3 linked regions of the Oryctolagus cuniculus genome follow. The main gene of each other region encodes a partner of the protein of the gene in region 3 in a complex. Links are inferred from orthologs where the notes say so. Each region holds a gene or a part of one and is shown on either strand. Other genes may lie near its edges. The genes, in order: PRKAB1, PRKAB2 and PRKAA1.

The links.
Region 1: the proteins of PRKAA1 (region 3) and PRKAB1 are in contact, whole or in part, in a crystal structure (PDB 6C9H), measured with the Homo sapiens proteins. The link is inferred for Oryctolagus cuniculus from reciprocal best matches to the Homo sapiens genes PRKAA1 and PRKAB1. Residues at the interface, in NP_006242.5 of Homo sapiens: Gly20, Val22, Lys23, Ile24, Thr32, Lys40, Lys42, Asn59, Arg60, Ile63, Arg64, Val69, Ile72, Arg73, Ile76, Gln77, Val93, Ser95, Thr96, Pro97, Ser98, Asp99, Ile100, Phe101, Met145, Met175, Ser176, Asp177, Gly178, Glu179; in NP_006244.2 of Homo sapiens: Pro79, Val81, Arg83, Leu103, Pro104, Thr106, Val113, Ile115, Asp159, Phe160, Glu161, Val162, Phe163, Ala165, Leu166, Met167, Val168, Asp169, Ser170, Gln171, Arg201, Ala202, Pro203, Pro204, Ile205, Leu206, Pro207, Pro208, His209, Leu210.
Region 2: the proteins of PRKAA1 (region 3) and PRKAB2 are in contact, whole or in part, in a crystal structure (PDB 4RER), measured with the Homo sapiens proteins. The link is inferred for Oryctolagus cuniculus from reciprocal best matches to the Homo sapiens genes PRKAA1 and PRKAB2. Residues at the interface, in NP_006242.5 of Homo sapiens: Gly20, Val22, Lys40, Lys42, Asn59, Arg60, Gln61, Lys62, Val69, Arg73, Val93, Ile94, Ser95, Thr96, Pro97, Ser98, Asp99, Ile100, Met145, Met175, Ser176, Asp177, Gly178, Glu179, Phe180, Arg199, Leu200, Ala202, Pro204, Glu205; in NP_005390.1 of Homo sapiens: Val80, Arg82, Ser84, Ser108, His109, Asp111, Ile115, Ser138, Asp159, Phe160, Glu161, Val162, Ala165, Leu166, Ser182, Ser184, Gly190, Gln191, Glu192, Met193, Tyr194, Ala195, Phe196, Glu199, Arg201, Lys203, Ser204, Pro205, Pro206, Ile207.

Annotation. Positions count from the first base shown.
Region 1 is NC_091452.1:15,720,486-15,730,721, reverse strand, and holds the start of PRKAB1 (5'-AMP-activated protein kinase subunit beta-1), read right to left. Parts: upstream 5,126-10,236; 5' UTR 4,880-5,125; coding exon 4,721-4,879; intron 2,624-4,720; coding exon 2,460-2,623; intron 1,553-2,459; coding exon 1,459-1,552; intron 1,238-1,458; coding exon 1,123-1,237; intron 1-1,122. UniProt on the Homo sapiens protein: Non-catalytic subunit of AMP-activated protein kinase (AMPK), an energy sensor protein kinase that plays a key role in regulating cellular energy metabolism.
Region 2 is NC_091438.1:50,108,371-50,118,631, forward strand, and holds the start of PRKAB2 (5'-AMP-activated protein kinase subunit beta-2), read left to right. Parts: upstream 1-4,784; 5' UTR 4,785-5,183; coding exon 5,184-5,339; intron 5,340-10,261. UniProt on the Homo sapiens protein: Non-catalytic subunit of AMP-activated protein kinase (AMPK), an energy sensor protein kinase that plays a key role in regulating cellular energy metabolism.
Region 3 is NC_091445.1:66,053,119-66,063,408, forward strand, and holds the start of PRKAA1 (5'-AMP-activated protein kinase catalytic subunit alpha-1), read right to left. Parts: upstream 5,500-10,290; 5' UTR 5,445-5,499; coding exon 5,345-5,444; intron 1-5,344. UniProt on the Homo sapiens protein: Catalytic subunit of AMP-activated protein kinase (AMPK), an energy sensor protein kinase that plays a key role in regulating cellular energy metabolism.

The sequences.
Region 1 (10,236 bases), on a different chromosome or scaffold from region 3:
TCACAGCAGGACCCTGAGAAGAGCCGGGAGGAGTACAGACGGAGCATCAGGAAGGTGCCCAATGAGAGCCTCCATTGGCTCGGCAGCAGCGAGGGGCCGTGTTCCCACCCAGCTGTGATGGGCACAGCAGCCTGATGTTTAGAGTCACCAGCAGGTGGGAGGGTGTTTGGATTCTCTCCCTCCCCGGATTCCTATCTATGTGAAAAACAAAAGCAACTCAGCTCTCTAGAAGATTAGTTAGTGATCCGGATAAAACAACCTACTTTTGAATCCCGAGGTCCCACTTGGCAGCCTGACCTGTCAGCCGCTGGTGACGCTGAGAGATCCTGGTGGCAGAACCTCCGGGCCCAGCTGAGCAACGAGAGGCGTCCTATCAACTACCTGAACCTGTCACCTGTGACTGCCAGACGCACCCTGGGGAGCCTTTTCACGGCCTCCTGTGGGATCCGGGCACCGTCCACAGCGTCCCCCCCCCCCCCCCGAAAGGACAGGGAGCGCTGACCCTGAATTGAACTTGACAGAGCCTGGGTAGTTCCTTCCGGGGGGCTGGGTAGAAAGCAATTCATCTACCCCTCAAGGCTTCAGACTCCTGGGAGGTGGGCAAGTTCTGCCAGGAGTGTGTCGAGCAGGCTCCTGGAAGGAGTGCTGTGTAGCCTGCTTCCTGTGAGCCGCCTCGGCCCTTGTCAGGGGGCCTGGCAGGTGCTAATGGAGCACACAGGTGATGGCCACGATCACTGAGGTGTCCGCTTATCACCTGTCAGGCTGCAGTCCTCCAGGCAGCGCAGGCGGGAAGTGAGCCGGCAGGCCTACCAGCGCTGGCTCCTCACCGACCCCACGTCTCTCTCCAGGGCCTCCTCGGCGCTGCCCCTGGCATGAGTGCAAGCTCTGGTCCTGTTCCATTACCTGCTGTCTGGGGCGAGACAGACCCCCCGCATGTCTGAGAAGACCTGTGCCATGACTTACAGCTCCCGAGGGGGCAAATTTCAACAACCTGACTTGCCAGAGTCAGGGGTGAGTCTGGGGTTCCGCAGGGAGCTACACACAAGAGCCGGAGCCAGGAAGCACATCTGGAGCCCGCAGAGCCCCACGCGCGCGTGTGGGATAGAGCGGCTGTGTTCGTACCAGACACATCGGAGCACTTTTGGGAGTCCACCATTAAAGCATCAAATACTTCGAAGTCCGTCTTCTTCACCTGAATGACGTTGTTAACCGTGCCAAGCTGGCTGGTCACTACTGGCTGGGGAGAGACAGAGGCAGAATCATGAGGGGAGGGCTGTGAGTCACTCTGCCGAGGACTTGGGGTTCCTGGCTGGCCACCCTGCTCGTCCCGGTCACACGGGCCCGCAGTCTGACAGCGGCTCTGCTGCCTAGCCCAGACCACACGGGCACGTTTTGTATGGGGCAAAGGAACCCGCCCGCGAGCCCTGGGGAAGGGGGCGCGCTGGAGAGGAAGGGTACCTCCGAAGGGTCGTGTGTCCACTGCCCATCCACAAAGAACTTGTACTGATGCTCTCCTTCTGGCAGATCCAGGATGGCTACAAAGTTATTGTGGCTGCAAGGAAAAAGGAACCAGAGCTTTTCACCTGCCTGGGCCACTCCAAGGCTCCCTTGTCAAACCAGCCGCGGAACGACACCAGAAGGCTGCGCGGGAAGCCCAGAGCCGAGCTGCAGGGCGCCGCAGAGGCTGGGAGGCAGCGGCAGCACGGGCCTCCCGGGAAACTCGCTCTGCTCAAATACTAGGAACCCACGCTCCTGACCCAAAAGGTCAACAAACAGGCACTCGCGTTCTCCAGCGTGGCGGCCCTGGACGCCCAGGACGGCGACACAAGGTAAACAGGAAGCTGTCTCGTTTTGCTTTGTGCTATTTGCCTCGGGCGGGAGAGGGGATCGATTTAATAGGACATAAACATTCTCTAAAGAAACTTGCAAAACTACTAAAAAAATTAAAAAAGGTCCCAGGGCACTAGCGTCACCCAGCGTTGCTCCTGACTCGGGCTGCTGACAGACGCACGCGGCCCCGGGCGACAACCAGGAGGACCCAGCCGGGCACCTCATCCCCAGCGCTCAGCAACGCTGACGCGTTCTCAGGACAACCTGAGACAGGAGTCCGGGCCAGGTTCCTGGGAACGCGTCACACCTGCTGACGAGGCCCGCGCGGCCCCTACCTTCCAAACGAGATGCGATCCTGGGACCCAAAGTCGGAAGGGACCACAGGGATCCCCTGCTGCAAACTCCCAGCCCAGCCAGCAGGCTGTGCCTGCGGCCCTCGCTCCCAGCCCAGCGCTCCGCCCACCCCGCCAGGTGATGTCTGGGACGCCAGCGGGCGGGTCCTCCAGCACAGGCGCTGTGGGAGTCACCCCTGTGAGGCCGTGAGGAGGGTTTCTCCTCCTCGTGCCCTTTCCTGGTCGCCTGCAGCCATGTCTCGGCTCCCGGCACACGCAGGCAGCGCCCGGCGTTACCTTCTGGTGAGGGGCAGCTTGCTCCAGTTGTTGAAGGACCCAGAGAGGTACACTTCCTTCCCGCCTCCCGTCCACCGGAACACCGTCGGCCGGGCCTGGGCGGGGGCTTTGTCGTTCACCTCCAGATCGTGCTGCCAGGCCAGGAACTCCTCCTTCTCGGGGGCCTGGAAGCAGAGCGGGTGTCGCGGGATAGGAGGTCAATGAGCTCCCGGCCAGTGCAGCCTGAAGAGGCGCTGCCATGACCCTGTAGTCGGCTGGCTGTGCCTCAGTTTCCCCACCAGCACCACGGAGATGAAAACATTCCTAAGGTTGTTGGGAAGACTGAGGCGGACAGTCCACGTGGAAATGTCCTGCCGAGTGACCGACAGGACGTGTGGAAGCGCCTCCTACCCAGCACTGTGTCCCTCACTAGCAGAGAGGCCACCTGTGGGGCTGGCGCAGTGGGGCACCGTGTTAGCCGCTGCCCGTGACACGGTGGATCCATGTGGCGTCCCGTACCTGAGCACTGGCTCCACTCCACAGGCCCACTGCTCTGCCTCTAGTCCAGCTCCCTGCTAATGCGCCGGGCAAGGCGGCAGAGGGTGGCCCAAGTACTCGGGCCCCTGCCACCCATCTGGCAGACCTGGATGGAGCTTCTGGCTCCTGGCTTGGGCCTGGCCCAAATCAGGCCGTTGCAGCCATTTGGGAATAAACCAGAGGACGGAAGCTCTCTCTCAGCCTTTCAGATAAAGAACTTTTCTTTTTTAAAAAGGAGCTCTGCATTAGAACTCCAGGGGAAAGTATCAGATATGCTTGGAAAACTGCTTAATAAACGTCATTTTCCTCCCTTCGTTAAACAAGACTGGAACTATGTGAACATAAGTGAGGGATCATTCCAGAACCGGTCAGTTTGAAAATCGGCAGATCCAGACTTTGAGGAAGGGAAAGACTATTCACTGGCAGGAACATTGTCCTGGTGCTGGTGAGAAGAGATACTAAATAAGACATTACGATGAAGTGTAACGTCCAGTGTAAGTGTTGTGTAACTGAAGTGTTCTGGCCTAAGAGAGACATAAACACATCCAGCTCTGGGAGAAATAAATAAAGGATGTTTAAACAAAGTTTCCTGGCCAGACGCCAAGACCTTTTCAAAGGGCAGTAGCTGGAGGAGGGGACAGGCTTTTGGGGCGTCCAGCAGGCCTTTGGCGCCTGAGCTTATCTGCAAGATGCATGTGTCTACGGAATTCTAACAAGACCTGTGGGTTAAAGAATGCCAGACCAGAACCACAGTGCAGGGAGGATGTGACGCCCACAGCCCCCACGGTGAACAGGTGTGGTTAAATCTGCTGCATGATTCCAGGCAGTTACAATGTATGCTCCCCAGATCTGCTACACAGGTGGACCGCAACACCAGCACTTCTGGCACAAAGCTATGGTGTCTTCAATAGCCTTGCTGGGGTCCCGTGTACTTCTGGGGGAAGGGACGTTAAGTCAACACGGTTCCAAAGTTCAGGTTGCAGGCAGCTTTCTGGAAATGCAACAAGTTCAGGAAACAAGGTCCAAGCACAGGATGGAGGGCCAGGTAACAGCAGATCTTCCTAGTCAGACCCCCAACTAAGATCTGAGGGTGTGAGACGGTGTCAGCACCCAGCCCAACAATGGAGGGAAAAAGTGAGTCAATCGTGTGCAGGTGCATACTAACAGGGTCCCCTTCATCCTCTCTACTCCGTCCCTTTAAGGAATGAGTTCTCAGGCGATGGACAGGATCATGGCTTTGGTGGGAGAGGAGGACCCGCTGGGCTCGTCACAAAGCAGACCGTCCCAGGGGATCCGATGCGGCCTGCCAAGAGGTGTGCTTTGGCCCGCTTCCAATACTGAATCCCAGACACAACACAAGGGCGCCCACCCACCGCCACCTCCCAGAGCCCGCGTTCCACCGCCGGACGCCGCCGGGGCCTGCGCCCGGCCGTTCTTCCTTCTGCTTCCACGTGTGCCCTGATCCACGCCCCCCCCCCACCTCCCCAAAGCGGACCGCACAGCCCCCAGACCCACTCCTACGACGGGCCGGGCTGCCTGCGGGGCACGCAGGACTTCCCGAAGCCGTGAGACTAATTACACCTGGGAGAAACGCGGCCGGCCGGGGCTCACTTCCCGCCGGCGCGACGCCCTGAATTAATTAGGAGCTGGAAACTGTCCCCCGAGCGGCCTGCGGTGCAGCGCCAAGGGAGCGGCCCCCTCCCTCGGGGCCGCGCCCCCCTGCCCGCGCCCCCCGAGCCGCGCACCTTGATCTCCTCCGAGTGGAAGAGGTCGGCGTCCTCGGGGCCGTCCATCAGGATCTTGGGCCTGTCCCCGTCCTTGGCGCCCCCCGAGCTGTCCCTGCGGGGCGTCTTGTGGCCGCCGTGCCGCTCCAGCGCGGCGCGCTCACTGCTCGTGTTGCCCATGGCGGGGGTCTGCGGGGCCACGGGGAAGCCGAGCCGGGTGGCACTCCCCACGAGTCCGGGGAAGGGTCGGGAGGTGCCTGGAGCGGGATCGCCAGGCTGCGCGAGGTTTCGCAGTCGCGCCTCCCCTGCGCCCGGACCTTACAAGCGGGAAGATTAGCCGGCACTATCCTGACAACTCCCCCAACCCCTCAGCCACTTCCGCTTCCGGCGACTCCGCCCCACAACGGGGGAGGCTGTGGCGGGCGCAGCCCGGGGCTAACTCGTCGTCACTTCCGCTTCCGGCGATGGCTGGCTTCCGTGGGCTTCAGAGCCGCGCAGTCGCAGTCGGCCGCACGGGGGGCCCGACCCAGCGTGAGGCCGTGGAGGGCCGGCAGGGGGCGCACCAGTGCACCGGCGGCCTGGGCCACTCTACCTGCGCTGGAGAGAGCGATGCCAATGGATGTACTAGGCCGCCTTCTCTGGTGCCACCCTGTACGGCTAAAGGTGCAAAAGTCTGATTAAGAAACCGCCCTTTGCTTAAAGCCCCTTGGTGCCGTGGCTGTTAACGCTTTAGGATGCATTAGACTCATTTTGCTAGAAGTTTCTTCCTTCTAGTAGCTCGAGGGCTACAAAAGAGAACTTTTATTAAATTCAGTGCGTAGGCTTTTACAGATTTATTTATTTATTTGAAAGTCAGATGGGGGGGGGCAGAGAAAGAGATCTGCCATCCGTTGGTCACTCCTCAGGTGGCCACAATGGCCAGGGCTGGGCCAGGCCAAAGCCAGGAGCCAGGGGCGTCATCCCAGTCACCCACGTGGGTGGAGGGGCCCAAGGACTTGGGCCATCCTCTGCTGCTTTTCCCAGGCCATTAGTAGGGAGCTGGGTGGGAAGTGGAGCAGCCCAGACGAGAACCGGTGCCCGCATGGGATGCCAGTATTGCAGGCAGCGTCTTTATCCTCTACTCCACAATGACGGCCCCAGTGCGTAGGTTTTTGATGAGTAATTTTGCAAAGGCATGATTAGCATTTGTCATTTACTACAGAACGTGGGTCAGCAAAGAGTATGCACGTATGACCCTTCAATATTCTAATCTCATTGCCTTATTTTTGTTTTTTGTATATTTCACACAATACCTCACCGGACCTGGTTGTGCGTTTTGTTCACTGAACATCTGTTTAGTACCTACAAAGTCCCGATGTTGTGGCAAGGAAATGGGAAACACAGATGATCAAGACGAAGTCTTCTAGAGTGGGCAGCTTCTCTCAAAATAATAATAATAAAGAAAAAAGCACCTTCGTTTTTCCGATTTTACCGCTGGGAACCCATCTACAGAAATATCACACAAGGAACTATAGCTGAGCCGGTTCATTGGCCACACCAGCTCTGAGAGCATAGTAAGTGTAAGAGGCACATTATTTTTTTTTTACATTAAACATTATTAATTTTTTTACATTCTAATCTCTTGAAATTGGATATTTCTTAGAATTGGTGCCATCTTAGATACGAAGAAATAACGAAATGACAGCCTGACCAATCTGGAACGTTTGTTAGTGGGGAAATGGCTAAGTGGATTAAACAGTCATTTTGTAGAATACTGCACCATGTTTTAAAAAGGAAAGGGATGGAAAGGGGTTACCTGGGGAGAGGGTCTGAGACAGAACAGGAGTTAGGGACATGGGCTCTGATGCCAACCTCTTGGGTTAAACATGTGGCTTTATACTTACTGTCACCTAGGCCTCTTTTGCAGTATGAGGAATAAAAATAACCCTCATCTTACAGGCTCCTGTTGTGAGTCAGTGGGCAATATGCACAAATATGCTTAGCACGGCATCTGAGTGTTCGTAAACATGCAGTAATTGTTAGCATTATGCTTGCACATGGAAACTCCTGGGATGGTTTACAATGCATTGTTAATAGCGGTTCCTTTGGAAACAGGACCAGATGGGAGGGCACCTCTCATTCTTTAGTTTATACCCCTATGTGTTGTTTGATTTTTTTTTTTTTTCTGCTGTGAGGATGTCTGACTTTTTCAATTTAGAAGCAATCTTAAAAAAAACAAAAGTAAGACATAGTTTCAGCCCCAGAGAAGCCACTAGAGTATAGGTGGGAACAGACTGGTAGAAAGTCAGTTAGTGGAGGAGGGCGAGGGATTCTACGGGAGCCCCAGTGGGACGCAAGCCAGGCCAGGGACGGGGAGCCCCCAAGGGCTCCTGAAGCGGATGGCTGTGAGACTGAGTGTACTTCCTGTAAGAATGTTGGATGTGCTCGCTGAATTGAATCAGCCAAGGTAGTGGGGGTGACACACAGAATGTGTGCTGTGAGCTGTCTGTTCCTGGTCCTGCCTTGCTACCGTAGGCAGTGAGGAAGCCATGCACAAGTGGAGTTTTGGGTTTTTCTCAAACAGCACGTCTTATCTGGGCTATGCAGATGCCCTGATGCGTGAGGGAGTTTCAAGATGTCTGCTCTGGCTTGGGTAAGATAATAGCGAATGCATGAGCCCCTGATGCCCAACACCGCAAATGACATCCTGAGGGTGTTGTCAGTGGTTCCCAGCCAAGGGGACCGCCCAGTGCCTGAGGCTGTAGGGGGCAAATGGGCCCTGCGAGTTCCCCCGGGCTCCATTCGTCAGACCGTGTACCTGGAGGCGTGAGCACCTTTCTTCTAACTGGTACGAATGCACTGGGTGCACCTGCAGTGGCCATGGCCTCTGTGCAACAGGAGCATCTGAACAGGAGCAACAGAGTCGCTGGAGCAGAGAGCCTGCCAGACAGCGCAGTCCACGCAGTCGAACCCTGGAAACCACCCTGAGACTTCCAGAAGGAATAGTGGGGTCTTCTCTGTGCTCAATGTTTCTTTATAGAGCACTTTAAAAAATTATTTATTTATATATTTGAAAGGCACAGACACAGAGAGAGGGACACACACACACACACACACACACACAGAGGTCTTTCACCCACTGGTTCACTCCTCAAATGGCTGCAACAGCCAGGGCTGGGCCAGGCTGAAGCCAGGAACCAGGAGCCAGGAGTCAGGAGCTTCTTCCAGGTTTCCCACATGGGTGCAAGGGCCCAAGCACTTGGGCCATCTTCTGCTGCTTTCCCAGGAGCATTAGCCAGGAGCTGGATCAGAAGTGGAGCAGCTGGGTCTCGAACCGGCACCCATATGGGATACTGGCATCATAGGTGTTGGCTTTTACCTGCTATGCCACAACACCAGCTCCAGTGAGCATTTTTTTTTTCTATTTGTTGTTACATAAAAGCAGGTAGATAAATTTTTCCAGATTTTGAAGTGTATGTTGTGGAACAGTCTGGTTTATAAAACTACATTGTGATTTTTTTAAAAGATTTTATTTATTAAAGAGGCAGAGTTACAGACAGAGAGAGAGGGAGAGACAAAGAGAGATCTTCCGTTTGCTGATTTGCTCCCCAACTGGCCACAAGGACCAGAGCCAGGCTGATCTGTAGCCAGGAGCCAGGAGCTCCTTCCGGGTCTCCCATGTGGGTGCAGGGACCAAGCACTTGGCCCATCCTCTATGCCCCCCTCCCCCCAGGCCATAGCAGGGAGCTGGATCACAAGAAGGGCAGCTGAGACACAACCAGCACCTATGGGATTCTGGAGCCTCAGGGGGAGGCCCGGCCCACTATGCCACAGTGCCAGCCCCCTTAAAACCGACCTGACACACACCGAGGGAGATCTCAAAGGTATAAAGTTGAAGACAGGAGGTCTGTGCAGCTGCTTATGGGAGAGTCTTGCCATATTGTATTAAAATCTCGTGGACAAACTGGTATCCGCTATTGGTCCCATACTGAAAATCACGGTGGGGTGGACTCTAATCACAAGTATTTCCTTCCTTAGGCCCCAGCTAGGTCTCGCGTGGGTCACTTTCTGTTATTTATTTAACAACGGTTCATGCTTCTTCCAAGCACCGGAAATGCCTCTTCTTTCCCTAATTCTCTGCTGGTGGGAGTCCAACCACTCTGTCTTGGAAGCTGGGGTGGGGATGGCTGGGGAGGACAAATGTCCAGGTGTCATCTGCTTGCTGGTCTTAATCTGGAATCAGGGCAAATGATAAGATGCCATATATTTTCCCCAAAACAAATCAGGACTGTTCACCACAGCCATTGACAGGAGCCCAGCTCAGCTCTGCTTTCAAATCCACACCAACCCTAAGGCTTGCTGGCCCACTGGGCCTTGCTGGCCATTAGTGAACATTCTGCATTTTGTTTAAAGTGAATGGGGATTCATGGAAGGGTTTATATATGGGAATAACATTATCTAAATCATGGGATCACTGATATTGCAAATTTTATAATACCATACAAATGGGACATGGGTTGTTGTAGAATTCAACTGGTTGTAAAAATGCAGACTTGCAAATCTCAGAAGTGTAGACAAATAGCAGGCAAATAGCCTCCCATAATCTTTTTTTTTTTTTTTTAAGATTTTTATTTATTTATTTGAGAGGTAGAGTTACAGACAGGGAGAGGGAGAGACAGAGAGAAAGGTCTTCCTTCCATTGGTTCACTCCCCAAATGGCCGCAATGGCCAGAGCTGCACTGATCTGAAGCCAGAAGCCAGGTGCTTCTTCCTGGTCTCCCATGTGGGTGCAGGGGCCCAAGGACTTGGGCCATCTTCTACTGCTTCCCCAGGCCACAGCAGAGAGCTGGATTGGAAGAGGAGCAGCTGGGACTAGAATCGGCGCCTGTATGGGATGTTGGTGCCGCAGGCAGAGGATTAACCTATTGCACCATGGCGCCGGCCCCTCCTATAGTCTTTGAGGGATCTACTGTTAGCAGCTGAAGCTCAGAGAGATGCAGTGACTTTCATAGGTCACACAGCTAGCCAGTCATGGAACCGGCACGCGAATGCAGGAAACCAGACTTCTGTAGAGGTCTTTTGGCAACATGGACAGGTCACGGGGCGAGGGGCGAGCTGATGGATCAGGCTGCTGTAGATGATAAAGCTGGAACAGTCACTGAGGGAGGGAGTTCAAACGAGGTATTTATTTTCACATCTGTTGACTTTACAGCTACATAAGATCCATGTTTCTTTTGTTGCCAAACTCAGTAAATATCTGAAAATAAGAGGCCATGACTTGTTTGGTGTAATACACAAAAGCCAGAAGGTGGGCTTTAAAAAAAAAAAAAAAAAAAAAGTGGTGCAGAATTAACAACCATGACTGTGATCATGCCCCTAGCACCCCCTAGGTGGCGATAAAGAGCAATGAAAATAGTCCCGTGGTTTTCCAAAAAAATGAAATAAATGATTTTTTCAAGTATGAATGGACAAAGTAAAATCTTTAAGCAGCATAGGGCACATAGAACAAAAACCAAAGTCTCTCACAACTTGTCCTAGATTTCCAGTTCCCTTGTCTC
Region 2 (10,261 bases), on a different chromosome or scaffold from region 3:
CTACAGCAATTTTATTTCCTTAGATAAACAATTTTATTTCCCTAGATATTTCCTTAGATAAACAAGTACAGACTATAATTTTAGAAGGGTAAAATGGTAACACAAGGTCAAAGGACACAACTTCTTAAAATCATTTAGGTAAGTTCTCCCTTGTAGAGACCCATTGAACCAGCAGTTGCCACTTAGAAAACTTACGATACATTAATGGCAAGCACATTCATAAGTAACGTAATTTTACTTAATACCAGGTCTGTGTGCCCTGTTACTTTTGCTATTACTAAAGTAATATAATATAAAAGTGCTTCCCACTGCTTACTTGGAATTTCCCCAAGTGCCGTGTTGTCTGTGCTACTGTACATATTCTCACTGTACTCTCCTCTGGGTAGATCCTCCACTTGCCCAGCTGGCTAACCCCCGTATCAAGACTCAGTTCAACTATTATCTCTTCCAGGAATACCCTCCTGATCCCTAATATAAAATAGGTGAACTTCCTTTGGGCTTTCATTACAGGTGGTATAATCTCAATTATAGTTTATGGGCAGCCTTTTACACTATGAATAAAAATTGGCTCCCTCATCTGTTTCTTCCTTGCACTTGTAAAATTCTGGGAGGAAGATACTTTATAATTAATCTCTGTATTCCTAATACCTAATATACAGCCTGTAACATAGTAAGACCTCAGTAAATTAATGATTAATTGAATGAATAAATTCAACATGGGAGTAGAGAAATGAGTTTTTAGTGATTAAACAGTGAATAATAATTTTATGAAAAGTGATTAAGGAGATTATGGGCTGCTTAACATTTTGAAATGGCTTAGGGACAAGCATGTTCTTCCAAAAAATTCTCTCGACTAGACCACTAATCTGAGTCTGCATATTTTTTCTATTGTGCTGTGGTTTGAAACACAAGTGATAGATCATGTTTTTATTTATTTTTATTTATTTATTTTTTTTTTGCACAAAGGACTTAGTAAGTCATGATTTTTTTTTTTATTTTTAAAGATTTACTTATTGGAAAGTCAGAATTACGGAGAAGTAGAGGCAGAGAGAGAAGGTCTTCTATCTGCTGGTTCACTCCCAAAATAGCCACAACAGCCAGAGCTGCGCCAGGCCAAAGCCAGGAGCCAGGATCTTCATCCAGGTCTCCCATGTTGGTGCAGGGACCCAGGGACTTGGGCCATCCTCCGCTGCTTCCTCAGGTGTATTAGTAGGGAGCTGGATTGGAAGTGAGACAGCCGGGATGCAAACCAGTGCCCATATGGGATGCGACACGGCTTCACCTGCTCAGCCACAGCACTGGCTGGATCTTAACACAAGAAAGGAGGTGGGGTACATGTTCTCTTTGATCTTCAGGCAGCTTAATCCTCTTGCTGTTTCTCCTGGCTTTCTCGAACTCCTCAGCTCCTTTGAAGCACTCACTGCCTGTTTATAGACCTGTTTATTGCCCTCCTTTGGTGAAGATTTGAGCACAAAACTCTCTCCAAATGCATAACTACTGCTGCCTTTGATTTTAATACCTATGTAGGTCATACTCTCACCCATCCAATTGATTACGAGTAGGTTCTGCTACCGTCTCAGCTCATTTTCTGTTGCAATAACAAAATATCTGAGACTAGGCCGGCACCACGGCTGACTTGGCTAATCCTCCACCTGCGGCACCGGCACCCCGGGTTCTAGTCCTGGTTGGGGCACCGGATTCTGTCCCAGTTGCTCCTCTTCCAGTCCAGCTCTCTGCTGTGGCCCGGGAAGGCAGTGGAAGATGGCCCAGGTCCTTGGGCCCTGCACCTGCGTGGGAGATCAGGAGAAGCACCTGACTCCTGGCTTCAGATCAGCACAGCACGCCAGCTGTAGCGGCCATTTGGGGGGGTGAACCAACAGAAAGGAAGACCTTTCTCTCTCTCTCTCTCTCTCACTGTCTAACTCTGCCTGTCACAAAAAAAATCTGAGACTGGGTAATTTGTAAAGGAAAGAAGTTGATCTTAGGTCACGGTTCTGGAGGCTGGAAAGTCAAAGAGCATGGTAGTAGCATCTGCTTGGCTTCTGGGGAGGGCCTTGTGCTGCTTCAACTATGGTGGAAGGTGGAAGGGAAAGTGGGCTTGCACAGACCAGCCGGAAGATGTCGGGGGCACTGCTTCAGAAGAAACCACTCTCACGGCTAATCCGGTCCTTCGGGAGGCAAAATGCACTCCCTTCTCTGGGCTGGCAGCAGTCCATGTATGAGGGTGGAAACCGTGACCCGAACACCTCTCACCAGACACTCCATCTCCCAACACTGCTACGTTGGGGCCAACACATGAATTCTGAGGCCACACACTCAAACCACAGCAGCCACATACAATAGAAAAACCCCAAATAACAATGGCCTACACAGTATTGAAGTTTACTTCCCCGTCATCTAAAGACGTCTGAAGGTAGATAGTCCTGAGACAATAAAACAATTCCACAGCTCTTCTTTCTGCTCCACTACCCTCACCATTTGACTTCCACCTTGTGGTCCAGACTGGGTGCTAGAGTTCCAGCCATTACATGAACATTCTACACAAAAGGAAAAAGAACTATAAGAAGAAGAACATGCCTTTTTCTTTTAAGGAAACTTAACAGAAGTACAATATAATATTTCCACTTAGATCTCATTGGAAGAACATAGTCAATATATCTACCTACCAGAGAAGCTAAGAAATGCATCTTTTTTTTTCCCAAGAAGCAATGGGTCTAGGTAAAAATCAAAGTACTATTATTAAGGAGGAAGAGAGGATGAATATTAAAGTAGAACTCCAGCATTCTTTGCCAATGGCTTTTCTTTTTATTTTTTAAGTTTTTTTATTTATTTTATTTGAGAGGTAGAGTTACAGACAGTAAGAGGGGGAGACAGAGAGAGAGGTCTTCTTTTTGTTGGCTCACTCCCCAAAAGTCCACAACAGCTGGAGCTGTGCCGATCCGGAGCCAGGAGCCAGGAGCCTCCTCCCAGTCTCCTATGTGGGTGCAGGGGCCCAAGGACCCAGGGCATCCTCTACTGCTTTCCCAGGCCACAGCAGAGAGCTGGGTTGGAAGAGGAGCAGCCAGGGCTAGAACCAGCACCCATATGGGATGCCGGCGCCACAGGCTGAGGTTTAGCCTACTGAGCCAGGGCGCTGGCCCCTCCAATGGCTTTTCGACTTGGTTTGGATATGATTTGTCCTTGCCAAAATTCACGTTCAAATTTAGTTGCAATGTAGAGCTTTAAGGAGTGATTAGTATCTGTCTCATGAGATTGGTCTAGTTCTTGCAGCCTGTGTTAGTTCTCAGGAGTGGGCTGTTAGAAAGCTGGTTGAGGGGCCAGCGTTGTGGCATAGTGGGTAAAGCTGCGGCCTGTGATGCTGGCATCCCTTATGGGTGTTAGTTTGTGTCCCAGCTGCTTCCATTTGGGCACTGGATGGAGTCCGGGCTGCCCCACTTCCAATCCAGCTCCCTGCTAATGGACTGGGAAAAGCAGCAGAAGATGGCCCAAGTGCTTGGGTCCCTAGCACTCATGTGAGAGAACTGTATGAAGCTCCTAGCTCCTGGGAGTGAACCAGTGGATGGAAGATCTCTGTCTCTCCCTCTCTTAACTGTGACTTTTAAATAAATAAATAAATAAATAAATAAATAAAAAGATTTTGGAGGGGTGAGCAAGAGACTGCAGTAAAATGGTACTTTTTTCTCTGTAAATTGTCTGTGGTTAAGAGCCAGAGAATGAGTTTACAAGGGGGCAAAGCAAACCTCTCTCTACAGATAGAGCCCCTCACTCATAAAGATGGGTGGGGTGCCTTTGGGTCCCCAATCACTGGCCATTTTCAAGCCTAAGTCGCATATCTTGTTAGAAACGTGTAACGGTATGCATGTCCCCTTCACTCTGCCAATGCTTGGTAAAAAGCTTTGTACGAGGTGCATGCAGAATACAGACAGAAATCACACGTGGTTCCGCTGTAGGCCAGCTGTCAAAGCACCCTCCTCACAGTCCCAGGTGGTCTTGTTAAAGGGCGGAGCCTGATTCCCTATGTGGGAATGGGGCCCGGGAGTCCGCATGTCGAACAAGCTCCCTGGTGATGCCGGGGCCGCTGGCGGACACGAGTATCCCAGGCTGACAGAGCTTTGCAGTAGGGAACGAGACACGGATGAGATAATAATACACAGCAAGGATCCGCAAAGGCCCCGAACCTCCATTCATGATCACAAAAACGGGGTCCCTCCCAACCCGAGGGCTGTCTGTGCCCTTATTATACCTTCCGCGTTCCTTCTGATGGGTTTTGCTGCTGCTCTGTCTCCGGAGTGTTATTTCTTCCAGGGGTGCCCACCGCACAGGTTCATTCCGCTAACATTTCACTAATCCTCACGGGCTAGCGGCCGATCACTCCATCTTGAGCTCTTCCCGGGGACCCCAGTCGGGCTGACTTCTCTCCCCCGGTACCCAGTGTTCGCGTCCAGGGACAACCACTCCTTCCTTCTGCTCGGGGCCGAGGTCCGTTCTCATTCCCTGTAGGAAGCCACCTCTCCGGGTCGCCCAGGGCCATGACGCCGCGCACACCACGCCTGTGGGGCGCCTGAGGCGGGGTGAGGACGCCCGGGGAGCGGCCGCCGCGGGTCCTCCCGGCAGCCTGTTCCCACGGAGCCCACGCCCCGGCGGTTCCGGACGCCGCCTCCCTCCCGCCCTTGTGCCCCCGCGCGGCCCGGCGCTGGCTGCGGCGCGCGGCTCACCATCGAGGCGGCGGCTAGAGAGGCGGGCGGGCCGCAGGGAACGCGCACGGGGCGGGCCCCCCGCGCCGCTGGCCTTGTAGCCATTTTAGGAGGAAACCAGGGGCGCTAGCTCGGGGCGCGGCTTCAATTTCAATAACTTTATTGGTGGCGTCACCCGCGGGACGGCCATCGCGCCGGTGGCCTGGACAAGAAGGAGCGCATCGCCGGAGGTGGTGACGGGCGTGGGCGCCCTGGGGCAGGCGGCGCGGGCTGCGGGGGAGGTCCCCATAGCGGTTCCCTGAGCCGGGGCCGCGCCGAGGCCCGGGAGTTGCGGGGGTTCCCGCAGGCCGGGAGGGAGGGGATTCCCTCGCCCGGGTCCGCGGGCGCAGGGGCGGGGCCGGGGGCGCCGGTGACGGACGCGGCGTCTGGGGTGTTCCCCGCCCGGTGTGGTGCCCCCGCGGCAGGTGGCCCCCGACTGGAGCCGCGGTCATGGGAAACACCACCAGCGACCGGGTGTCCGGGGAGCGCCACGGCGCCAAGGCTGCGCGCGCCGAGGGTGCCGGCGGCCATGGCCCGAGCAAGGAGCACAAGATCATGGTGGGGAGCACGGACGACCCCAGCGTCTTCAGCCTGCCTGATTCCAAGGTAAGCGGCCTCACGCCCCAAGACGTCGGCGGTGCTGCAGCCGGCTTGGTTTCGGGCTCCTCCCTTGCTGGGTTCCTTCTCATGACACTGAACTGGGTGATGGGTTTTTGAATTAAAAGGGATTTTCCGAGTCGAAGGTGTTGGATGGTAATTCCTCTTACGGTGCTGCTTCAAAATAGGGCGAGGCGGCGGAATTCTCTGACTAGTCTCTCCGCCACGTTTTAAAGGATGGGGACAATAGACAGCCGCCGTTTCGGGTACCCTCTTGGAGTGTTGATGAATTTGCAGATTGTAAACTGGGTGGGGAAACTTCGCAGGGGAGGTGGCAGTTTTTCACATTGGCCCTGAGGGTGGCTCAGTGAATTTCATTTTCCTGAAAATGTCTGTGTATCAGTGTCATCTTTGCCTTTCTAGGAGCTCTGCACTTGAAATTCTCTTCCCCTTTGGTACGGCCGTGAGCCGCGACTCCTTGCCTTCTTGACTACTTTGTCCTAGGCTTGGGATCAGTAGGACGTCATTTGGTTGACTGCTTTTGCTTGGTCCAGCACTGGTGTGGTGGCCGACACCCAGCTGCTTGCTGGGAGGGCAAATGATTCCCAGTCCCCTCTCCTCTCCAGGAGAACTTGAGAGTGTTGCCCGTGGCTGAAAACACCCACCCCCAGCTGCCCCTCTGAAGCGCCTGCTCTCAGTTCCTAGGACTTCTGGGAAGACCAACTTGCGTTCACACTACAGAATGGACAGATGGCGCTGACAGCCATATGATTCCAGAGCAGTGTCTAATCACTCTTAGAACTGTCGGCATGAAATGCATTTAATTTCTCCAGTTGGGCTGAGTAGGGTGAAATAGAACAATGGAGAGACAAAGATGGCAGGGTCTGATGTTTTTATCACTTCATCACTTTCGTCCAACTAGGGCCTCTGGGCAGAAAGAGATCCTTATTTGCCACATTGCTAGTACAGGAAATTTGCATGCTGTGGTTTCTTTATCTTCTGGAATCCCCATTGAGAACAGAATCACAGACAGAAAAGAGAGTGATTGAAAGGAGTTGTTTTGGGATTTCTTTTCTGGTGCTTTTTTTCCCTTTCAACTTGAGAATTTCTTCCCCATCATTTGGGCTGTCTCCGCAGCCACCTGAATTTACTTGTTCAGAATTTTCCCAACGTGATCTGCCTCCTGTGTTTTTACCCTTTTTTGATGTTAATGACTCAGGATTTAAGAACAGTGTGGTTGTGAAACTGTGACTGCAGCATTTGATGGCCTCAATAAAAGCTAGGTTGTTGTGTCTGAATTGGGGCCTATTTTGGATCATTTTTTCCCCCACATTGCAGTCTTGCCATTTGTGATATTTAAAAATTGGCTTATGTAATTCCTAAGGTTTCATCCAACTCAAAAATTTTGTAGTACTCCATCTACTCTCTCCTTTCCTCAACATGTTTCTCACCTATTTCCAAACTATGGCTCTAGCTGTTGTTTTGCCCCTTTTCCTGTTGGTTTTGCCGACTATTTAACTTGGAGCAAATATTCTTGCTGCCAGTCGGCTGCATCCGTTCCTACCACAGAAATGTTGTGTCATAAGTGGGAGGGCTTTCCTCCGAAGCTAGGCATATTAATAGTCCATAGCTTTCAGATTCTGCACTGAAGATCTGTCATAAAAGTAACTGACGGAAACAGTGGTGGGAGGCCCAGAGGGCTCCAGGTGCCTGCCTCCATCACCAGACTGGTTGGGTGGTTCTTAATCCTGGTTGCACATAAGAATAACCTGAGATTTGTTTCAGTTATGGTGACTCTGAAACCTTTACCAAGTAGCAAGAACAGTATAATGAACTCTGTGTACCTGTCAGCCATTTTAAACAATGACCAAGTCATGAATGAACATGTGTCATCTAAGTCCCAATCCACTGTATCCTCACCAAAGTATTTTGAAGCACATTGTAGACATTGTATCGAGTATTGTATCATAACATTTTATAATGTGCTAAAGGTGATTTTTTCGCTTTTAGTAGAAAGTCACACTGTTATTATCAGGGAAGATTTTTAGAAGTAGATTACCAGCTCCTGTATCTGCCTCAGAGCCTGAGAGTTATTGTTAGGTCTGTTAAAAAAAAATCCTGTGAGTCTGATGCAGCCAGTCAGGCAGGAAGGCATTGCTTTGAGAACATGAGGACCGGGGTTTTCTCTTAAGCCTGAATTATGCTATTACTGGGGTCTCATACTTAGTTTTGAGGAATATCAAAAGGCGCTGTGGGGTCAGCAGTTTGGGGCAGCATTTTAGAATGCCACTTAGGGTGCCCATATCATATTGGAGTGTCTGTGTTGAAGTCCCTCTGTTCCCTGCTAATATGCACTGTGGGTAGCAGCAGGTGATGGCTCAAGTACTTGGGTCCCTGCCAGCTGTGCGGATTTTCTCTACCTATGTGGACTGGGATTGAGTTTCTGGCCCACCCCATCAGTCTGAGTCATCCCTGGCTGTTGTGAGCATTTAGGGAGTGAACCAGCAGATTGGAGATCTTTCTGTCTGCCTTTCAAATAAAATAATAGTAAATAAATAAATAAATAAGTTCTGAAAAAGGCAGTATATGGAAGGTAGATTACCTCAACCATTTTGAAACAAATGCCCAAATGAATAAGCTAGTCTTTTTTTTTTTTTTTTTTTTTTTTTTTAAGATTTATTTATTTATTTGAAGGGCAGAGTTACAGAGAGGCAGAGAGAGTGGGAGAGGTCTTCCATCTGCTTATTCACTCCCCAGATGGCCACAATGGCTGAAGCTGTGCTGATCCAAAGCCAGGAGCCGGGAGCTTCTTCCGGGTCTCCTACATGGGTGCAGGGCCCCAAGGACCTGGGACATCTCCCACTGCTTTCCCAGGCCATAGCAGAGAGTGGATCAGAAGTGGAGCAGCCAGGACTCAAACTGGCACCCATATGGGAATGCTGGCACTGCAGGCGGTGGCTTTACCTGGTACCCCACAGTGCTGGCCCCAATGAGCTAGTCTTGTTTATTTTAAACCCATACTACTTTTTTAAAAGACATTATTTATTTTAAAGGTAGAGTTAGAAAAGAGAGAGCGAGAGGGATCATCCGTCTGCTGGTTCACTCCCCAAATGGCCACTATGGCCAGGGCTGGGCCAGGCCAAAGCCAGAAGCCAGAAGCCAGGAACTTCATCCTGGTCTCCCATGTGGGTACAGGGGCCCAAGGACTTGGGCCATCCTCTGCTGCTTTCCCAGACACATTAGTAGGGAGCTTGATTAGAAGTAGAGCAGATAGGCTGGTGCCTTGGCTCACTAGGCTAATCCTCCGCCTTGCGGCGCCAGCACACCGGGTTCTAGTCCCGGTCGGGGCACCGGATTCTGTCCCGGTTGCCCCTCTTCCAGGCCAGCTCTCTGCTGTGGCCCGGGAGTGCAGTGGAGGATGGCCCAAGTACTTGGGCCCTGCACCCGCATGGGAGACCAGGAGAAGCACCTGGCTCCTGCCATTGGATCAGCGTGGTGCGCTGGCCGCAGCACGCCGGCTGCGGCGGCCATTGGAGGGTGAACCAACGGCAAAGGAAGACCTTTCTCTCTGTCTCTCTCTCTCACTGTCCACTCTGCCTGTCAAAACATAAAAAAAAGAAGTAGAGCAGATGGGGCCGGCACCGCAGGTGGAGGATTAGCCTACTGAGCTGTGGCGCTGGCACTCCAGGTTCTAGTCCCGGTTAGGGCGCCGGTTCTGTCCCAGTTGCTCCTCTTCCAGTCCAGCTCTCTGGACTCTTCTCTGACAGTGGAGGATGGCCCAAGTGCTTGGGCCCTGCACCCACATGGGAGACCAGGAGGAAGTGCCTGGCTCCTGGCTTCGGATCAGCGCAGTGCGCCAGCGTGGCAACAACCATTTGGGGGGTGAACCAATGGAAGGAAGACCTTTCTCTCTGTCTCTCTCTCTCTCTCTCTCACTGTCTAACTCTGTCAAAAAAAAAAAAAAAAAAAAAAAAAAAGAAGTAGAGCAGATGGGACTGGAACTGGCACCCCTATGGGATGCCAGCATCACACTTTACCTGCTACACCACAACACTGTCCCCTAACCTATACTATTTTATGGGTACTATTTTGACTTAATACTGTACAGTCTTATTTGCCTATTTACCAAAACCAAAAGTAAGGAGGGTCATCAGACTTTCTCAGTAAATGGCCAGATAGTAAGTGTTTTAAATTTTGGGGACAGGGACCGGTACTGTGGCATAGCAGGTAAAGCTACAGCCTGCAGTGTTGGCATCCTGTATTGGGTACTGGTTCAAGACCCAGCTGCTCCACTTCCAATCTACCTCCCTGCTAATATGCATGGGAAAGAAGCAGAAGATGGCCCAAGTCCTTGGCCCCTGCACCCACATGGGAGACCAGGATGAAGCTCCTGGCTTCAGCCTGGCTCACCCCTGGCCTTTTCAGCCATGTGGGGAGTGAACCAGCAGATGGTATCTCTCTCTCTCCCTCTCCCTCTCCCTCTCTGTAATTTTGCCTTTCAAATAAAATAAATAGATCTTAAGAAAAATTGGGGTGACCATAAAATCTCTGTCACAGCTATTCAAGTCTGCCACTGTAGTGGAAAACAGCTGTAGATAACGGGCATATGAGCATGGCAGTTTCCCAAAGTGACTTTATAAAAACATCTGGCTCTAGTTTGCCACCTCTTAATCTAAAGGAAAGAAGTAATAAGAAACTAAGGAGTTAGCTTTTTTCAGATTTCTACAAACCTCATTTGATGATGGAATTACTTTTGTTGAAGGAAGCTGTGTTTTTGATCTTTTGTTCCATAAGGCTCTAGAATTTTCACCCTTACTTCTGAAATAATTAGTGTATACCTGGCAGGGTTGAGCAAGATTTCATAACCACTTCTCAAACTTTAAGAACTTTGTCCTTTCCCTTGTAACTTATTAGCTAGAGTATGAATTATG
Region 3 (10,290 bases):
AAGAGTTACAGAGCACCTCTAACCCAAAAAGAAAGAGAAAAAGCAAAACCAAAATGGAGTTACTTAAGTTAATGCTACTAAGCAGAACAAAAACGGAGTTACTTAAGCTAAGGCCACTAAGCACCAGGAACTGCCCAGACCATCTGTCAGAAACAGACACAGGTGGTGAAGCCTGATATGGACAGGAGGACATTACATCATAAGAAGCAGCCAACCGGAGCCGGCGCCATGGCTCACTTGGTTAATCCTCTGCCTTCGGTACAGGCATCCATATGGGCGCCGGGTTCCAGTCCCGGTTGCTCCTCTTCCAGTCCAGCTCTCTGCTGTGGCCCGGGAGGGCAGTGGAGGATGGCCCAAGTGCTTGGGCCCCTGCATCCACATGGGAGACCAGGAGGAAGCACGTGGCTCCTGGCTTAGGATTGGCGTAGCTCCGGCCATAGTGGCCATTTCAGGGGTGAACCACTGGAAGGAAGACCTTTCTCTCTGTCTCTCTCTCTCACTGTCTAAATCTGTCAAATAAATAAATAAAATAAAAGCTGGCTACAACATTACTTCACCGACACTACTGCACCATGATTGGCCACACCCAGAAGACACTTAACACACCATTGGTCACACCCTAACACCAACATCTGGTTGGTGACACCTAAAAAGGATGAGCCGGTGATTGGTGACACCCCAGAGCACACTCACGGCCCACCTACTCTAGAAGGAGGCTAAAGAGGCTAGCCTCACCACTGCTCTGCTTCCCTTCAGGGACCATGGCTCAATGCGAGTGATGATCAAGTAGATCCACCACATCCTGCTGAAACTTTGCCTGTGTCTTTGCTGGCTGAAACTCTGCTCACTACTCCACTGGATCCAACCTCGCCTGGACGTTCCAGCCGCTGCTGAAGCTGACATTGGAACCGGACTGGACTTCTCATCGGTGACCTCTCCAACCCTTCACCTCACCATCCGACTTGGAACTCTGAGCCTACTGCCCAGAGTGCCAGTCATTCCACGACCACTGCCCGTAAGTGACTTCTGAGATCCAGCTCTCCAAGTGGTAACGAAGACTTTGGACTCTGGACTCTGAATGCAGCATTCATATACACCCTTAGCCATGAGTGTTTAGATTGATTATGCTTTTTATGCTTCATACTTATTACTATTGCTGGATATTTTTAGAGATCGTCTTACTCCTAGATGTGTTATGATCTGTGGACTAATGATATATATATTGAGTGGTACTGACCCTTAAATGTGTGCACTGAATATATATGTTGAGTGATACCGAACAAAAAATTATATTAAAAAGACTATCATGGTTCTGTGGAATTCCTCTGACACTTCACATTAGCCTTGTCGAGCTGCATGACAAGTGGCCCTCGAGGCAATCCTCCACTACTTTCGCAGGCACATTAGCCAGGAGCTGGAACAGAAGTAGAGCAACTGGGACTAGAATTGTAGCCCATATAGGATGCTGGCATTGCAGGCAGCAGTTTAACATGCTGCACCACCATTCCGGCCCCTAAATAAATCTTTTTTAAAACATAATTCAAGTATAATCTCAAATTAATAGTTTTTTGTTTAAACTTTCCTCCCAAAATGCTATCATCAAACAACCAAATAAATATTTTAGCTTGCAACAGAAAACAAAATAAATCACTATGAATTTATAGCAACCTTCTCTCCCAAATTAAATTTCCTATCAGCATGGAATATCATACTGGGAGTTTTTCTGCCTATCAATATTACGTATTCCATGAGATTCCTTTTCTATGTTGAGTTTACCAATGAATATAACTAATTTCAAAACTACCTATTCCAAATTGTCTTGACTTAACTATATTGCTAATCCTGTTATAGCAAAGAATTTTTGTCAAAATCAGGCTGTTTTGCCTACTCATAAAGCATCTATATCCCAATTTTCTCTGATCTTAACTCTAACAATACTTATTGCTGTGTAGGTGCCTATCCTGCCTGCCCCCCTACACTAAAAAAGTATTTTGGAAGATGACACACATACACATCCAAGGGTTGGCCATCATCTTCCAAAGGTAATGTTATCTCCCTTTCTAGTGCCTGCTTAAGAACACAAGCCTAAGTCAAATGGCACATAGTATCACTGACCAACCAGCAAGAGAGGTACACAAGCCTTCCTTGCTCTGAGAGAACCAGAGATAGTTGTGCTTACTCTGAGTTGGATTTTTCTATTCCTTGTGACAAAAAGTATCCCAAGTGTTTAATATCTTAAAAAAAACTAACTAGGTAAAGATCATGACATATATAAACTAACTTTTTTCAAAAGATTTATTTATTTATTTGAAAAGCAGAGTAACTGAGAGGGAGAGGCAGAGAAAGAGAGATCTTTTATCCACTGGTTCACTCCCCAAATGGCCTCATAGGCTAGAGCTGGGCCAGACTTCCGGGTCTCCTACATGGGTGCAAGGGACCCAAACACTTGGGCCATCTTCCTCTTGTTTTCCCAGATGCATTAGCAGGGAACTGGATTGGAAGTAGAGCAGCTCAAACTGGCACCCATGTGAGATGCTGACACTGCAGGCAGTGGCTTAACCAGCTACGTCACAGTGCCAGCCCCTCAACTAACATGCTTATAAAAATATTTAGCCATATCCATGAAATCTGTGATCTTTTTGCTATCATTTTGGTCCTTCTATATTTGGGGAGGTTGTTATATTGGACAGACTATGGCACTTCATGAGAGGCACATTTGCAGGGAGAAGTTTAAGGAACAGCAGAGTCACTGAAGAGATTCACATCACAGCCACATCACAAAAGATCAACTCCAGAAAACAGAAGATGTCTATTCCTTCTCCATCTACTGTGCCAAAAGCCAATTAACAAATAGGAAAACAGACTTGACTCTGTTCAGGTCTTTTTTAGCAGAATGATGAACATCCCAATCAAAAAAGAATTTTGAGAAAGGGGTGAGGACATCAACAAAGTCTCTTTCACTATTTCAGAGACATTACTGAGCATTTCTTACAACTACTGGCAAACTAAAAACCTGTTTATAATCACTAACAAGAAACAGCACAGAAAAAAAAAAAAAACAAACTTCAAGAAAACAGAAACATGTTACTGTCCTAATGTAGACCCACCTTAATGGCTGTTACTACTCCATATTGGAGTTTGCTCCTTACTTTATTATACTACTGACCTTGTTGGTTAATGCCCATCCCCATGGGTTATACAACAATATTCCACACCTATGGCTCAGAATCGGCAACAGAGGCACGCACTTGGCTCATCAGCTAAGACGTTATTTGGGATGCCCCACATCCATGTCAAGTGCCTTGGTTTGAGTCCCAGCTGCCTTTCCAATTCCAGCTCAGGCTAATGCACACCCTGGGAAGCAGCATGTAATGGATCTAAATATCAGGTCCCTGCTATTCACATGGAAGACAAAGACTAAGTTATGGCACCTGGCTTCAGCTTGGCCCAGACATGGCTGTCGTAGCCATTCAGGGAGTGAATCATTGGATGGATGATCAAGATCTTTCACTTTCAAAAAATGAAAATAAATAAATTGGGGAGGGGGGGCCGGGAGGATGTTAACTTAGCTCTGGCAGAACAAGGCTCAGTTAATTTACTGTATACTCTTTCATAAACCTTTTCTTCCAGATCAAATATTTACCAAAAACTTAGTATATACTAGTCAAAGGCTTCTTATTTATCCAATGCCAATGCAATAATTATTCTTATCAGTTCCAAACTTCCTCCACATCCCTAATAACAAAGTCATATTTGTAAGGAAAAAGAATGTATGCCTCACAAAATTTGCAATTTAAACTTTTTATATCAGGATTGGATTAGAGAGCAAGTTTATTACTTGCAGAATATTCATGCTTTTCATAAAGGTAAGAAGTTCCAGGGCTGGCACTGTGGCACAGCGGGGTTAACACTCTGGCCTGCAGCACCAGCATCCCACATGGGTGCCGGTTTGAGACCCGGCTGCTCCACTTCCAATGCAGCTCTCTGCTGTGGCCTGGGAAAGCAGTCCAAGATGGCCCAAGTGCTTGGGCCTCTGCACCCACATGGGAGACCCAGAAGAAGCTCCTGCCTCCTGGCTTCAGATCAGCACAGCCCGGGTCGTTGCAGCCAATTGGGGAGTTAACCAGGGAATGAAAGACCTCTCTCTGTAACTCTTTGAAATAAATAAATAAATCTTTAAAAGAGAGAGATACTAAGTTCCACACTTAACAAAAAAGTTTAAACAGTGTGCACTAATCTGTTTATTAAATGTAAATATATTGTGGACAGGGTTTTGTTAAGACACTACTTAGAACACCTGCATCTCACCAGGTCTCTAGGTTTGTCTCTTGTTCCAATTCCAACTCCAGTTTCCTGTGCATGTGCACCCTGGGAGGCAGCAACTGATGGCCCAGGTATTTGGGTCCTTGCCACACAAGAGGGAAACCCTGCTTGAGTTCCCAGCTCCTGTCTTCTGCCTGGCCCGGCCCCAGCCTCAGCTATTTTGGGTATTTGCAGCGTGAACCACCAGATGGAAGACCTATGTGTCTGTCTCTGTCTTCCAAGTAAATAAAAATCAATTTCTAAACATTAAAAATAAATATCTTCCCAAAATAAAAGGAAACGAACTCTACTAATTAATAAATATTATCTAGAGGCAACATCTACAGTAGCCTACCAGGTTCAGCATGCAGATACTGCAAAACCGGTAATTCAGAAACACTGAAGGTCGGGAGTCTGCATTTGTAAGGTAAACCAAGGGTCGCACCAGCTCCCCTTAACTGCTTTACACAAGGTCAGTCATCTTTTCGGACGAAATGGATTTAAAAAAAAAATTATTCAGGCTATACTCAAAGCAACCTCAACTGGGAGAACATCTCTCATGCTCAGGAAACAGCAGGGGCCGTTATGCTTTCCCTAGCCTGCTGAAGACGGAAATACGGACAAGGCGGAGGACCGCCAGGAAAGCGATGGGCTGGCGTGGAGCCAAGAGCACAACCAGCCGGACAGGAGGCCGCCTCCCCCGCCTCCTGGCCGAGACCCCCGGGACCCCACGCTGCAGACCTAGCGCGCGGGGCAGCTCCGGACGCCGCCACCTGGGAAAGTTCGCACCTCGGCATCTCCTCCCTCGCACCGACCGCAGCGCCGTCGCCATGGCGACTGGTCCCCACCCTACTCCCACCCGCAAAGGGAGCAGCGCCCACTTCGCTCGGTAGCTTCGGGCACGGCTCCGAACAGAGCCCGGAGAGGGTCTGCCGAGCCCGGGAATCTAGGGACAGGGAGGACCGGGAGGAGGAAGAGGTGCGAAACGCGGGAGTCCCGCGGCTCCCGGGCCGGGGCCAAACCCTTCCCCTGGGGTCCTCACCCTTCACTTTGCCGAAGGTGCCGACCCCCAGCGTGTCCCCCAGGATGTAGTGGCCGATCTTCACCCGCCCGTCGTGTTTCTGCTTCTCGGCTGTCGCCATCTTCCTCCAGACACTGAGTCTGCGCACGGCGCCGCGGGAGGGGGCGGAGGGGGCGGGCAGGGCCGCGCCGGGGGCGGGCGGGCGGCGAGGGGGTGGGGACGCGGGCGAGCAGCTGCGGGGCCGAGCCGCCGCCCCGCGCGCGCCGCCCGGGCCTGGCCACCTGGAGCCGCCGCTCCCCCGGGCGGGGCGGGCTGCGGTCGCTGGCAGGGGCCCCCCAGTCCCCTTGGTCGCCCCGCATCCTTTCGGGCTCGGCACCCGCCCAGCTTCCCGGGTAGTCCAGGAGGGCGGTAGCCCCTCCGCCCTTTCTCGGGCAGTGGGCGCCACTGATAACCGCTTCTGTGCGGGGCGGGGGCGCCGTTCTCCTTGAGATTCCGGGGAGGGGCGATGGGCCCTGGGAAGCCCTCTGGGGTGGTGCAGATCGTGGCTCTTTTACTTGTGCAGCGTGAACTGAACCATGGCAGGGGGCTCCTCCCTGATTATCACCTTTCCTTCCCAGACGGGGTCCAGGTGCCACAGGGAGTGTTCATTTGCCTCTCGGACTTTCCCCTGCATCGCTCTTACTTCGCTGTGAGCCATAAGTTACCATTGGGCAGTTCAAGCAGGCTTGTCGGTGTTTTCTCCTGGATGCTTTCCTTAAGGAAGAGGGAGGCTGGGCACCTGTGGGGTTGTATGCTTATCAGGCAGAAAGCGATGCTACCCTGCCCTTTCGCTGTACAGGAATTACTATGTTTAGATTATCAGTAAAATGCACACTATCACGGGACTGACGATAACGTTTACAGTTACATCGACCATTTATTGTATGTGCAAGGAATAAAACTTTATTGTCTGTGTAGATGAAACCATACTATGTCACAGAGAAAGTAAAGTGTGCTTATTTGTAATATAATTTTTCAGTAAGTTTGTTACTGAATTCCACGGAGAATTATCACATGCCTCCAACAGTAGGCAAAGTCAAATGTGTCATCCAAAAAAGAAAGAAAAAAAGTTTATATGCTCTCGGTTTTGCCGTGTCATAGCATTTGGACCAGTGTCAATGGGTAAAAAGTTGGACTCTTCATGAAAAGAGTATAAGAAAGTATAAAACTAAGAAATGTCATCATTTTCCTTTCCAACAAAAATAAATTACCTCTAAAACTCTCCCATCTCCCACTTGCTTTCTCTCTGGCTCCCAAAATATATGTGCAGGCTGCCTCTAGATGCTGCCAGCAAGAAGGCCATCACCAAGTTTAGCCTGTTGACCTTGGGCCAGGACTGTCTCTTGCTGCTTCCCTCTGCACTTTCTTCACTTTTGAAGCTGGGGTAGAGAGTCTGTAAGCAGTGTAATTGTCACTCTCTTGGTAGAAACTAGCCCTACTGACAGTATATCAATTCATTGAGAAATTAAATAATAGTGTTATGAGCTGAAAGTTACCCAACTGTCCTGATTGTCTCCTCTTTTTGTTAAGAAACCAAAGTAGCACGTATTAAGGACTGTTTTGTTCGAAAGATCCTATTGCAAGGGAAATGAAAATCCCTGCCTTTAAGCTTAGCAGACCTGGAAAGAGAGGAAGATCTTCCATCTACTGATTCACTCCCCAAACCCTGGCAACAGCTTGCCCAGGCCAAAGCCAGGATCCTGGAACTCCATCTGGGTCTCATGTGGGTGGCAGGGGTCCAAGCACTTTGATCACCTTCCCCTGGTTTCCCAAGCACATTAGTCAGGAGATAGATTGGAAGTGGAGAGTCAGGACTCAAATTACCATTCATGTGGGATGCTGGCATCACAGGTTGTGACTTACCCTGTTTTGCCACAATGCCAGCCCCTGTAATAACACCTTAAGTTACATTAAATTTGCATCATGTCTAGAATTTAGCCCAGCAGAGTTCTACTATTTCATTTAACATGAAAGAAAAAGATCACAAGATACCTCAGCTCTGTGTCAGTTAAGCCACTAAACTTCTTGAAAAGGAGGAAACTGACCCTGAGTCTGGCAAATCTGTTTGCCAATCTCCTTGTGAAACCATGAAGATTCAAAAAGGAAACATTTTTTTTAAGCAGGGACATCAGTTTGTTTCTACTTTATGTTATTGTAGATTATAATGCAATTTAACAAATAGTGATTAGATGTCATTTCCACTTAAAAGCATTGATGGGGAAATAAAAAGCCTCAAATCATAGATTCAAATATTGGGTAGGAATTTTAGAGGTCATCTTATCCAGTTCCTTTAGTCTCAGTTTAAGCAGCATTAACTGCCTGATATTTTGGGGTTTTGTTGTTTTTATGTTTAATCCAATTAACAGTTTCTAAAATAATAAGTCTCCTGTATTCCTTTGCTTTTTTTTTTCCTTCATTCCTTTTTTAAATTTTGGTCTCTTCCTTTCATTTTCCCCCATGAATTCATCCCCAAACCTTCTCTCTTCTTTCACAGTTTTGTTTACTATCAGACACTGTGGCAAGTTCCATTTTTTAAAAAAAGTGAAAAGCCAGGGTCTTTAGTGACCGTTCTTTAAATAGCCACCCTCTCAACCAACCAGGATGGGAGCAAAGATAAGGTAAACTGGGGCTTACACACAGTTTCTGAGCCTATCAGTGGTAATTCTATCTCTGTCTCACCATAGTATATTGGAATATAGGTGGGCAGGGGTGACATTATAGAAGTAACCTGAATCCACTCTAGTTTAAGAGAAGGAAAAAAAAGTAAATTGTTTACCACCTTTAGGGGGTGAGTTTTTTTTAGTACAGATAAGTGATGGGACCTCTCGGCCCTGATGAAGACATACCCGGGTGACTCAGCGCTAAGATTAGGAACCTCTGGTCTCGTGGAGGACAAGGTAGTTAATTGTCAGCTCTCTCCTTTCTAGCTCTGTAGTGCATGTTCTCCTGTTGGTCTTTTCTTCTCAGGGTCATCACAATGTTATTAGACTCTAGACTATCAAGTGGATATTAAACTTTGTCAATGTCAGTCTCTACATATGATGTCCAGGGCTAAAAATTCTGTATATTATACTGTTCTTAATATAACCTAACATTTCCTTAGCCTAGTTGTAGTTACTTTATAACTAACATCTATCTTTATTAAACAATAGCTATATATCAGACAGCTTGCTAAACACTGGGGACTTAAACAAAGGAACACAGTGTCTGCCTTCCAGTGGCAAACAAAGCAATATAACAGGTGCTATAATAAAAATATATATATGGTCCTAAAAAGCATCATGAGAGGAGGGTGTAACCTTTCTCTGTAGAGGTCTGTGAAGGCTTTGATTTGAGTGTGTTAATAAAGGAATATTAAGAGAGATTTTCTACTTAAGCAAAAGGGTGGTGTGGGAAATAGGCAGAAATGGGGAAAGGTATCCCAGGTAGAAGAAGAGAATATGAAAAAACCACAGGAGAAGTAAATCTTACTTGGGTTGGGGAAGAGCTAATGGTTACAGAGGATGGATTCTAGATGTATAGGGACCTGTTTTTGTTTGTTTGTTTGCTTGTTTGTTTTTGGACAGGCAGAGTGGATAGTGGGATAGTGAGGAGAGACAGAGAGAAAGGTCTTCTTTCTTGCCGTTGGTTCACGCTCCAATGGCCGCCACAGCTGACGCGCTGCGGCCAGCGCACCGCACTGATCCGATGGCAGGAGTCAGGTACTTATCCTGGTCTCCCATGGGGTGCAGGGCCCAAGCACTTGGGCCATCCTCCACTGCACTCCCTGGCCACAGCAGAGAGCTGACCTGGAAGAGGAGCAACCGGGACAGAATCCGGCGCCCCGACCGGGACTAGAACCCAGTGTGCCAGCACCGCAAGGCGGAGGATTAGCCTAGTGAGCTGTGGAGTAGTGGGTAGCCGCTGTCTGCAGTGCATCCCATATGGGTGCCAATTCAAGTCCTAGCTGCTCCACTTCTGATCCAGCTCTCTGCTATGGCCTGGGAAAGCAATGGAAGATGGCCCAAGTCCTTGGGCTTCAGCACCCACGTGGGAAGAAGCTCCTGGCTTCAGATGGACACAGCTCCTGCCATTGCAGCCAACTAGGGAGTGAACCAGTGGATAGAAGACCTCTCACTCTCTCTCTGCCTCTGCCTCTCTGTCACTCTGCCTTTCAAATAAATAAATCTTTTAAAATTTTTTAAAAATTTTTAAAAAGGAGAGACAGAGAGGTATATATCAAGACCCAGACTGGTGCCCATACAAGATGCCAGCACTGCAGACAGTAGCTTAAACTGTTGCACCAGAGTGTTGGCCCAGAGGGGCTTGTTAAAAAATGGGAGACAAACAGGAACAAAATGCTGAAAGGCCCCATAGGTGCTTTTCAGTTTGGTCTTTTATCTTGTAGAGACTGATAAGCCATGAAAAGATATGAAGTAAATGCTTTTTAGAAATACATTCTTTTCCCAAGAAATTGGTATCAATGGGTGGCTTTGGAAAGGAAACCTTGTGACTAAGAGTCAAGTGCAAGGGACAGACATTTCCCTGTACATCCCTGTGTAATTTTTTTTAAGGCAGAGACACAAAAACACAGATTTTCCATCTGCTGCTCCATCCCTACCCCATACCCACAGCAGCCCAGGGTGGGCCAGGCATAGAGGTGAGCTGGCAACTCAATGTGGGTCTTCCATGTGGGTCACAGGGAGTCAGCCACTTGAGCCATCACACACTGCCTCACATCAACAAAAAGCTGGAATCTGGGGCTGGTGTTGCGATGTAGTAGATAAAGCTGCCCCATTTCCAATCTAGCTCCCTGATAATGTGCCTGGGAAAGCAGAGGAGGATGGCCTAAGTTCTCCCTGCACCCAGTGGGAGACCTAGAAGAAGCTCCAGGCTTCTGGTTTTGGCCTGGTCCAGTCCAGGCAGTTGTGGCCATTGGGGGAGTGAAC